Linked DNA regions of Canis lupus familiaris. The protein of the gene in region 1 interacts with the protein of each later gene in a pairwise test. Links are inferred from orthologs where the notes say so. Each region holds a gene or a part of one and is shown on either strand. Other genes may lie near its edges.

Evidence for each region. The genes of interacting proteins can lie anywhere in the genome.
Region 2: the proteins of CCDC57 (region 1) and TSGA10IP interact in binary tests that used the Homo sapiens proteins (3 or more experiments, as listed by UniProt). The two-hybrid records come from large-scale screens. The link is inferred for Canis lupus familiaris from reciprocal best matches to the Homo sapiens genes CCDC57 and TSGA10IP.

Annotation. Positions count from the first base shown.
Region 1 is NC_049230.1:950,727-955,079, forward strand, and holds the start of CCDC57 (coiled-coil domain-containing protein 57), read left to right. Parts: upstream 1-1,204; 5' UTR 1,205-1,341; intron 1,342-4,318; exon of another isoform or gene 4,319-4,353. UniProt on the Homo sapiens protein: Pleiotropic regulator of centriole duplication, mitosis, and ciliogenesis. Critical interface between centrosome and microtubule-mediated cellular processes. Centriole duplication protein required for recruitment of CEP63, CEP152, and PLK4 to the centrosome.
Region 2 is NC_049239.1:51,823,041-51,827,540, reverse strand, and holds the start of TSGA10IP (testis-specific protein 10-interacting protein), read left to right. Parts: upstream 1-1,444; 5' UTR 1,445-1,491; coding exon 1,492-1,644; intron 1,645-2,958; coding exon 2,959-3,083; intron 3,084-3,185; coding exon 3,186-3,913; intron 3,914-4,095; coding exon 4,096-4,243; intron 4,244-4,500.

The DNA of each region.
Region 1 (4,353 bases):
CGGAAGGAGCAGCAGGGCCTGGCCCGCCTCTGGGAGGCAGGCTGCCTACAAGGGCGATTTGGCTTTGTTTTCCACTTATGTTTGAGCACAAAGGCAAAAGCGCACAAGTTAGGAGAGCGAACTGATGGATTCTCCGCACCACACGCAACACACGGTGCGACCTCCGCAGGACGAGAGGCTGCTGGAGCCACCCGCCCCCCCCAAGGCCCATGCACGGTGCTGGGGGGGCACGGACCCCGCCCCACTGCCGCCCCCGATCGACCCTCCCCCCCCGTCCCCCGCAGCCCCGGCCCCGCCTATGGACACCTCCCCCACCGTGCAGCCCCGGGTACCCCGCTCCCCTTCCCCGGTGCAGCCCGGCCCCACCCCCGCGTACCCAGCCCCCCATGTTGCCCCGCCCCCTGGACCCGCCCCCGTGCAGCCCCAGCCCCCACCCCGTGCAGCCCCGCCCCCTGTGCAGCTCCGCCCCCCCACGGCCCCGCGCCCAGTGCAGCCCTAACCGCCCCCGTGTAGCCCTGTCCCTACCCCGTGCAGCCCCGCCCCCGCCCCGCCCCCCGTGCGGCCCCAGCCCCCACCCCGTGCAGCCCCGCCCCCTGTGCAGCTCCGCCCCCCCACGGCCCCGCGCCCAGTGCAGCCCTAACCGCCCCCGTGTAGCCCTGTCCCTACCCCGTGCAGCCCCGCCCCCGCCCCGCCCCCCGTGCGGCCCCAGCCCCTACCCCGTGCAGCCCCGCCCCCGCCCTGCCCCCCCGTGCGGCCCCAGCCCCTACCCCGTGCAGCCCCGCTCCCCCGGCCCCGCTCCCCGTGCAGCCCCAGCCCCTACCCCGTGCAGCCCCGCCCCCGCCCTGCCCCCCGTGCGGCCCCAGCCCCTACCCCGTGCAGCCCCGCCCCCCCGGCCCCGCTCCCCGTGCAGCCCCAGCCCCCACCCCGTGCAGCCCCGCGCCCAGTGCAGCCCTAACCGCCCCCGTGCAGCCCTGCCCCTACCCCGTCCGGCCCCGCCCCCGCCCCGCCCCCCGTGCGGCCCCAGCCCCTACCCCGTGCAGCCCCGCCCCCACGGCCCCGCTCCCCGTGCGGCCCCGCCCCCCGTGCGGCCCCGGCCCCCGTAGCCCCCGCCGTCCCTCCAGTTCCGGGGACCCTCTCCCGGCGTCAGGTGGGCGGGAGTGGGCCCTCCGCCCCTTGGCGCCTGCGCGGGGCGGGTGAGAGGAGGCCGGAACCCGGCGCCGGAGCTCGCGTTTCCGGGCGGTGGGACCCGAGCGCCGCACCGAGCGCGCCGGAGCCGCGAGGGCGGACTTGGTCACCATGGCGACGCGGCGGGACGGAGGCCGGTCCCCACGGGCGTGCGCGGTGAGCCTGGGGCGCGGGGCGGGGCCGCTCCCGGGCCCAGTGACGGGGTCGTCGCCTTCCCGGGGCGGGGCGTGGCTGCGGGCCCCCCTCCCGCGAGCACCCTGCTGGCGCCCGCGGCGGCCTGCCCCACCCCGCGCGGAGGGTCGGAAGCCGGGAGGTCGGTCCGGCGGCCCGCCCAGTCGTGGAGAGATCCCCCGCGGCGCGGCGGGGTCAGGCGGGGCGGGGGGCAGCGGGGTCAGGCGGGGTCAGGCGGGGGCGGGGCGACTTGGGGTGGGACCCCGCGCTCCCGGGCCCAGGGCGCCGCCTGCCCCGCCGCTGCTCACGCACGTACTTTCCGTGTGTCCCCATTCTAAAGTTGCCATTTTTCGTTAATGATACTTCCAGGCCACGGAAATTGTTTCTTTATCTTTTTTTAAAAAAGATTTTATTTATTTATTCGTTAGCAACCGAGAGAGAGAGAGAGAGAGACCCCCAGACCGAGGGAGAAGCAGGCTCCTTGCGGGGAGCCCCACGCGGGACTCGATCCCGGGTCCCCGGGGTCATATCCTGGGCCGAGGGCGACGCCCAGCCGCTGGGCCCCCGGGCGCCCTATATATCTTGTTTCTAACCACACTTTCTATCACAAGTGTTTTCTGAAACAATTATTAATATTTTTTTTACCAATTAAGGATTTTTCTGTTTCCATTATTCTTTCCAACTAATGGAATTCTGTAAGAAAGAACCTCCCGCCCCACCCCCGTTTCTTTTAAGTAGGCTTCACACCCAACATAGGACTCGAACTCAGGACCCAGAGATCCAGAGTCACACAGGGACTCTACCGACTGAGCAAGCCGGGTGCCCCCAGCACCTTACCTTCCTCCCTTCCCCCCTCATCTCGTGTTGGTATACACGTTTTTATTTTGTTTTTATTCCACACCTGTATAATACATTGCTATAATGTATTTTGTTGCTAATTCTCCAGGTTTGGGCATTAGGAGCCCCTTCAAGTCAGCGTGTCCCCCAGCATTTCTCGGCACCGCCAGATGTTCCCCGCCCGTCCTGTGCTTTCTGGAGCAACTTCAGAATTGCCAATCCGTATTTCTATGAAAAATAGACTACTAGCTAGAGTGTAATATTTGCATACAGTTGTTTTGCTTTTATTCTTGGAATTTACAGTCAAGATTTTTTATAAGATTATTTTAGTGCATTTATGTAGGTTTTGTTGCATTATGTCAATCACTTGTTCCTGTTTGTTTTTTTTTAATTTTTTTATTTTATTTTAATATTTTATTTATTTATTCACGAGAGACACACAGAGAGAGGCAGAGACAGGCAGAGGGAGAAGCAGGCTCCATGCAGGGAGCCCGACGTGGGACTGGATCCCAGGTCTCCAGGTTCAGGTCCTGGGCCAAAGGCAGCGCCAAACCGCTGAGCCACGCAGGTTGCCCACTTGTTCCTCTTTGTATTTCGTTATGAGTCCTTACTGATTTTAAGTTTCAATGTGTGAACCATGTTCTAAAAGTCAGCAGCTCATGGGGCGCCCAGCTGGCTCAGTTGGAAGAGTGCAGCCCTTGATCCCAGGGTCATGAGTTCGAGGCCCATGTTGGGTGTAGCGATTACTTAAATAAGTAAATAAAAAGTCAGCAGCTCTCAACTGTAAGGTGATTCAGCTTCCCTTCTGCTTTTGTTCTCATTTACTCAATTTTTATTTGTTTGGTTTTTGTTATTTTTGGCAAAGGAATTTGGCAGGTGTAAATTGTAATGAAAAAGCACTGCATATCCCTCACTTTAGCGGTATCCCTTAACCCCAGCCAGTACCAGTGGTGGAATTAAGACCTGAGATTTTTTTTTTTAAGATTTTATTTATTTATTCATGATAGTCACACAGAGAGAGAGAGAGGCAGAGGAGAAGCAGGCTCCATGCACCGGGAGCCCGATGTGGGATTCGATCCCGGGTCTCCAGGATCGCGCCCTGGGCCAAAGGCAGGCGCCAAACCGCTGCGCCACCCAGGGATCCCCCTATCTGAGATTTACTTGAGATTTTACACATGGTTGTGGGTACTGTTTGGCACTCAGTGAAGTGTGAGGAAGACGGCTTGTGGTCACAGGCCCCTGATTTTCATCCCCTAGACACTACGCTGGAAGAGTACGCGTACCAGGGTTAGCTGGACGGCCCTTGTTGGGATTCCAGGGGGCGCCAGTGTTGAGTCCCGTCCTGAGTGCAGTAACAGATGAGCCCCCTCCAGACTTTCCTTCAAGTCCCACAAAAGCGTTTTGTAAATTAAGGTCACTAATTTATAGTAATTAAGCTCACGTGTTTATAGAGCAGCGAGATAGCTTTCCTTAATGAAGTAGATTTGGGTTCTCGTGCGTTAGGAACGGGGGGCTTATTAGCCGCTGAGTCCAAAGCCCAGAGCATCTGGAACCGCAGCCTTGAGGGAAAGGAGGTAAAAAGAAACCTCTGCTCAGCCAGTGTGTCCGAGTGGCTTGTTCGTCAGCGTCTGGTGACCGGCTTTTAGCCCTTTGCAAACATTCCCTTGTGTACATTGTGCACTCGGTAACTGCTTATGTTTTAATGAGGTCATGCAATGCTTTTCCAATTAAGTACTTACGAGATATTTATTGTAAAACAAATTGTTCCAAATTTTTGGTCAGGCGCATGGAGTGTGATGAACTCTCGTGTCCTATCTGCGGATTGGGTAACCCGGGTTCGTCTCTGACGTGTTTTACTCTGATGTTCGGGTCGTCTGGGGAGTGGTAGGATTTGTCAGTGGGACGAAGCATCCTGCCATAGTCCTTCCTGTCCCTCCAGCATCTTGTCCCTGGAGGCCTGCAGGAGGGGTGAGGCACCCCCAGGGCGAGGCCAGCCCCCTGCAGAGCTCCCGTGCTTGCAGAGCTCTGCACCTCCCTTTGGAGGTGGGAGGTGGGCTCACCTTTGTCTCCAGCCCTTTCCTCTTTTTTTTTTTTTTTAATTTTATTTATTTATTCATGATGGAGAGAGAGAGGCAGAGACACAAGCAGAGGGAGAAGCAG
Region 2 (4,500 bases), on another chromosome or scaffold:
CAGACCTGCCCTCTGCCAAGGAAGGAAGTGGCCCAGAGTTTGTCCAGGAAATCAGTGGGGCTAGGGTCTGGAAATGGAGCAGCCTACCTGTGTACTTCCACAGGACACCTGATAGAGGAGGCAGTGGGGTGGGCATGGCAACCCACCAGAAAGAGCAGATTTTGCCTATTTTAGGGACAAGAAATCTTCACCTGGAGCATTAATTAGGCTGTTCCACTGGGTGAGCTCATTGTAAAGGTGCTGCCGGGATGGAGTCTGAGAGCAGATATGAGGCCACAGAAACAAAGCTCAGGGAAAACCATGCCTGTAGGGCATCTGCTGGACTCTGCTTCCTTTACTGGTCTCACTGGGGCTGCATGGTTGGCTAAGGAGCAACAGCTCTTCCACAGAAGTTCGGATGAGCCATGGGAATGTTCTAGGTGTACCTGTCTCTAGTAACTGATTTAAGCCTCACTGTGACCCCAGGAGGAAGATGCCATCATAACCAGCCTTGTGATGCCCAAGAGGACACAGAGGTACAAGGGGAGCTGGATCTGAACCCCAGTGCTTCCTGTGTTCTCTTAATCACCATGTGCTGCTACCCCCCAATAATAGTCCGCCATTGTTAGCAGTAGTGATAATGAACCATTACCGAGCATGCTGCCTTCATGATTTCATTTAATCTTTGTAATTAACCTATGGAATGGGTCTATGCTTTCCAGTTTGGCAGAGGGGAGAGGTGACTTGCCCAAGGTCACAGAGCTGGTGAGCAGCCAAGCCAGGCCTCCAACCCTGCCGCTGGGTCTCTAGGGCTCAGTTTGGCGCCGAACTCCCTATGCTGCTGGTGGTAGTGGTCAGTCCTAGGCGTACCATGGGGATTTACCATGGTAAGGCATTTTGGTGATGCTTAGAAGTTTGGGATGAGATTTAAATGCTCTGACTTCCTCCACAGCCTCCTCTGGGTCCTGGTTGCCTGCTGCTTCCCTCCTGGGCATGGTGTTCAACTGGCTTTTCTTGCCCTGTCTGGACCTGGGAGGCCAAGTGGTTTGAACAAGATCTTGTTGTGAGAGCTCAGCTTAGCTTTTGCAAGGCCTCAGTTGGGGCTGGAGTACTGGGGGCAGCCCAGGAGGCAGGTGGAGGGAGAGGGACCCCCTCAGGCACCGAGGGTGTGAGGACCCTTCCAAATGGTCAAGTCTTGAGATCCCTTGTACAGATAGAGGGGGAGACACAGGCTGAGTGAGGACAGGGGACTCATACCAGGTCAACGAAGAGTCCTGCAGAGGTAGGCTTGGCCCTGGGCCTCAAGACTCTCAGGCCTGGACTCTTTCTCAGCATCATCCTGAACTTTACCCCCCCAGAAGGAAGTTGACCTCACATACCCTGGCTGACTCTCCCTGGCCTGCTTTTTGCCAGAGCCCTTGAGGCTGACTGAGAACTGGTTGCCATAGAGATGGTGGGGTGGGCAGTTCCAAGGCTGGCAGATGGGGGTGGGGGTCCGGGCAGGACACCAATATGCGAAACACCCACCAACGGGCGAGCAGGACTACTTCAGGGAGACCAGGGCAGGACATGCGGCTTCAGGGAGACCAGGGCAGGACATCCCAGGCTCCTGGGATGACCATAGGGCTGCTCAAGTTCCTGTCAGACATCCCCCAAGCTGAGCAGGTGAGGGAGGCCCTGTGGGGGGACTTCCAACTGCCTGGAGGCAGCCTGGCTGCCTGGGGTCAGTATAGGCCAGGGCTCAGGATGGCACTGGAGAAGTCATGAAACTGGAGCTGAGGCCCGGCGAGAGACAAGAAGGCCCAAGGCAGGCAGGGACCACAGGGAGGCCTAAAGGGTCCAAGGCGAGGATGAGGAAGACACCCAGGGATGACTCCCAGGCTTCCAGGAGAGCCATCTAGGGGAACTGCAGGAGAAGGAGGAGGAGGAGGGTTTTAGGAAAGATAATAAGCTTCCTCTATCTTGATTTAGCAAGTCCAGAGCCCCATGGAGCATTCAAAAGAGCTATCCGGGACATGGAGGCAGCACCGTACCATGGTGACAAATCTGGGCTCTCGAGACAGACTATGCATGTTCAGATCCTGACTCCACTTACTGGCTAGGTAACCTTAGTCAAGTGATGTCACCTCTCTGAGTCTCAGTGTTCTTATCTGGGATGAGATGAGATCTCATCGGGCCCTTTCACGAAGATGGCACTGAAGGCGAAGAAGGAAGCCCCTGCCCCTCCCAAAGCCGAAGCCAAAACAAACGCTTTAAAAGCTAAGAAAGTGGTGCTGAAAGATGTGCACAGTCACACACACAAAAAGAAGATCCGTATGTCACCTACATTCCGACCACCCAAGACCCTGCATCTCCGGAGGCAGCCCAAATAACCTGGAAAGAGCGCCCCCAGGAGAAACAAGCTTGATCACTATGCCATATCAAGTTCCCCCTGACTACTGAGTCAGCCGTGAAGAAAATAGAAGACAACAACACACTTGTGTTCATTATGGATGTCAAGGCCAATAAGCACCAGATCAAACAGGCTGTGAAGAAGCTCTATGACATTGATGTGGCCAAGGTCAACACCTTAATCAGGCCTGATGGAGAGGAAAAAGCATATGTTCGACTGGCTCCTATCATGCTTTGGATGTTGCCAACAAAATTGGGATCATCTAAACTGAGTCCAGCCGGCTATAAATCTAAATATAAATTTTTTTCACCATAAAAAAAAAGATCTCATGGGATAACAGTGGGATATAGGTCCTTGGGAAAGTTAAATGAGTTGATGCATGAAAATCCTGAGCATCCAGCAGGTACTCAGCAGCATCATTAAATATTAAAAATTGAGGTGGTGATCAGTCAGTTTTACCAATAACAAGAGCCCAGCAGGCCAGCCATGGTACAGAGAAGAGGAGGGTCCCCTGGAGGAGGTGTGGGATGCTCCAGGAGGCTGCTTGCAGCCAGGCCTCCTCTCCTGTCTTCACCTAGGGGAGGCTTGGGAATGGCGATGATGTGGCTCTGGGCCAGCAGCCGAGGTCTCGGAGCACAGGACAGATGCCAAAGAAGGACCGGAGGCCCAAGGCTCGGAATAAGAAAGACCGTGGCTCTGCTGAAGCTGAAGAGTAAGCCACTGTGCAATAGGCTGGGGGGATACTGGCTGGCAGGCCCCACTGGGGGCCGAGGCCCTGACCTTGACCCTTGCTCCCTGTCCTCTCCTTCCTCAGTCTCATCCCCTCTCCTCCTCGGAAACCCTCCTTCCCCTTCCAGTGGGCCTGGGAGAGCTTCACCACTGATGGCCAGGCTCTGCATCAGCCCAGCTTCTCCTCGGCCTCCGCCCCAGGCCACCAAGCTCTGTCCTTGTCCCGAGCAGTCCCCCAGTATAAGGCCAGGCACAAGTCCACAACCACCCTCCCAGAGCCCCATGGCTTCTGCTGGAAAACAGAGGGGCCAAACCTGGAGAGAAGCCAGCAGCTCAGGGCCTGGGGTTGCATCCCCAGCTGTTCTGGCAAAGGGGAGAGCCAAGAACTGGAGGCACCCAGTGAGTATGACCTCCAGCCACCTGGGAGGAGGTCAGGATCAGGATCTGAGTCTGAGGAAGGCACCGAGCTGGAAGCCCTGGGTTCTGAGGAGATAGAGAGGGTTTTGAGCCCTGGGGAGCTGCCCCAACTCCTCAGCAGGGGGTTGATATTAGAAGAGGAACAGTTTGTAGAGGTGACAGAGCAGGCCGAGGAGGGAGAGCACAGGACCCTCCATAGAAGGAGAGCTGGTTCTCAGAGAAAGGGGCAGAATTTTCGCGAGGCAGCCTCCGATGAAGATGACCTGCAGTGCAAAGGGAGCAGCTCCAGCTCCAAACTCAGAAGACCACAGAGGAGGAAGTCAAGGGCCAAGGAGCTGGAGGGGCCATGGGACCCGGAGAAGCTGCAGAGGCAGTTACAGCAAGAGTTGGACTGTGGTGAGTGTGGGCTTCGATGTCTGGGTTCCCCAGGAAACTACAAGGTGGGGAGAGAGTTTGGGGAACCAGCAACCTGGACCAGGAGTTCAGACAGGGTTATACTGCGCTCCAGGTGCTGGGCGGGATTGTCCAGCGGGCTGGGAGGGAGGAGGCTATTCTCTGACTTGTCCCACTCTGGATAGGCCCTCAAAAGCAGCCCTGGAAGGCTTTGGGGGCTGCTGTCCAGGCCTCCAATCGGAGTGGGAAGGCCTATGCCTTGGGAGATGAAGAGAGTTTCCTGTTTGCCAACTTTCCTAACCGTACCTTCCACAAACGACAGGAGGCCACCAGGTAAGGTAAAAGAAAAAGGAGGATGGGAAGAAAGGGCTGGGAGTAGAGAAGGAGCCAGTTCTCCAGAGACACTGAATCATTCATCCTCATTCATTAATTCATTTATCCATTCTCTAATCTTTTGGTCATCCAATCTTCTACAGATCGATGCATCTATCCACCCACCCATCCATCCATCCATCCATCCATCCACCTACCCATTCATATACCCACCCATCTATCCATCTCTGTCTACTTGGCCAGGTGTCTATTGACAC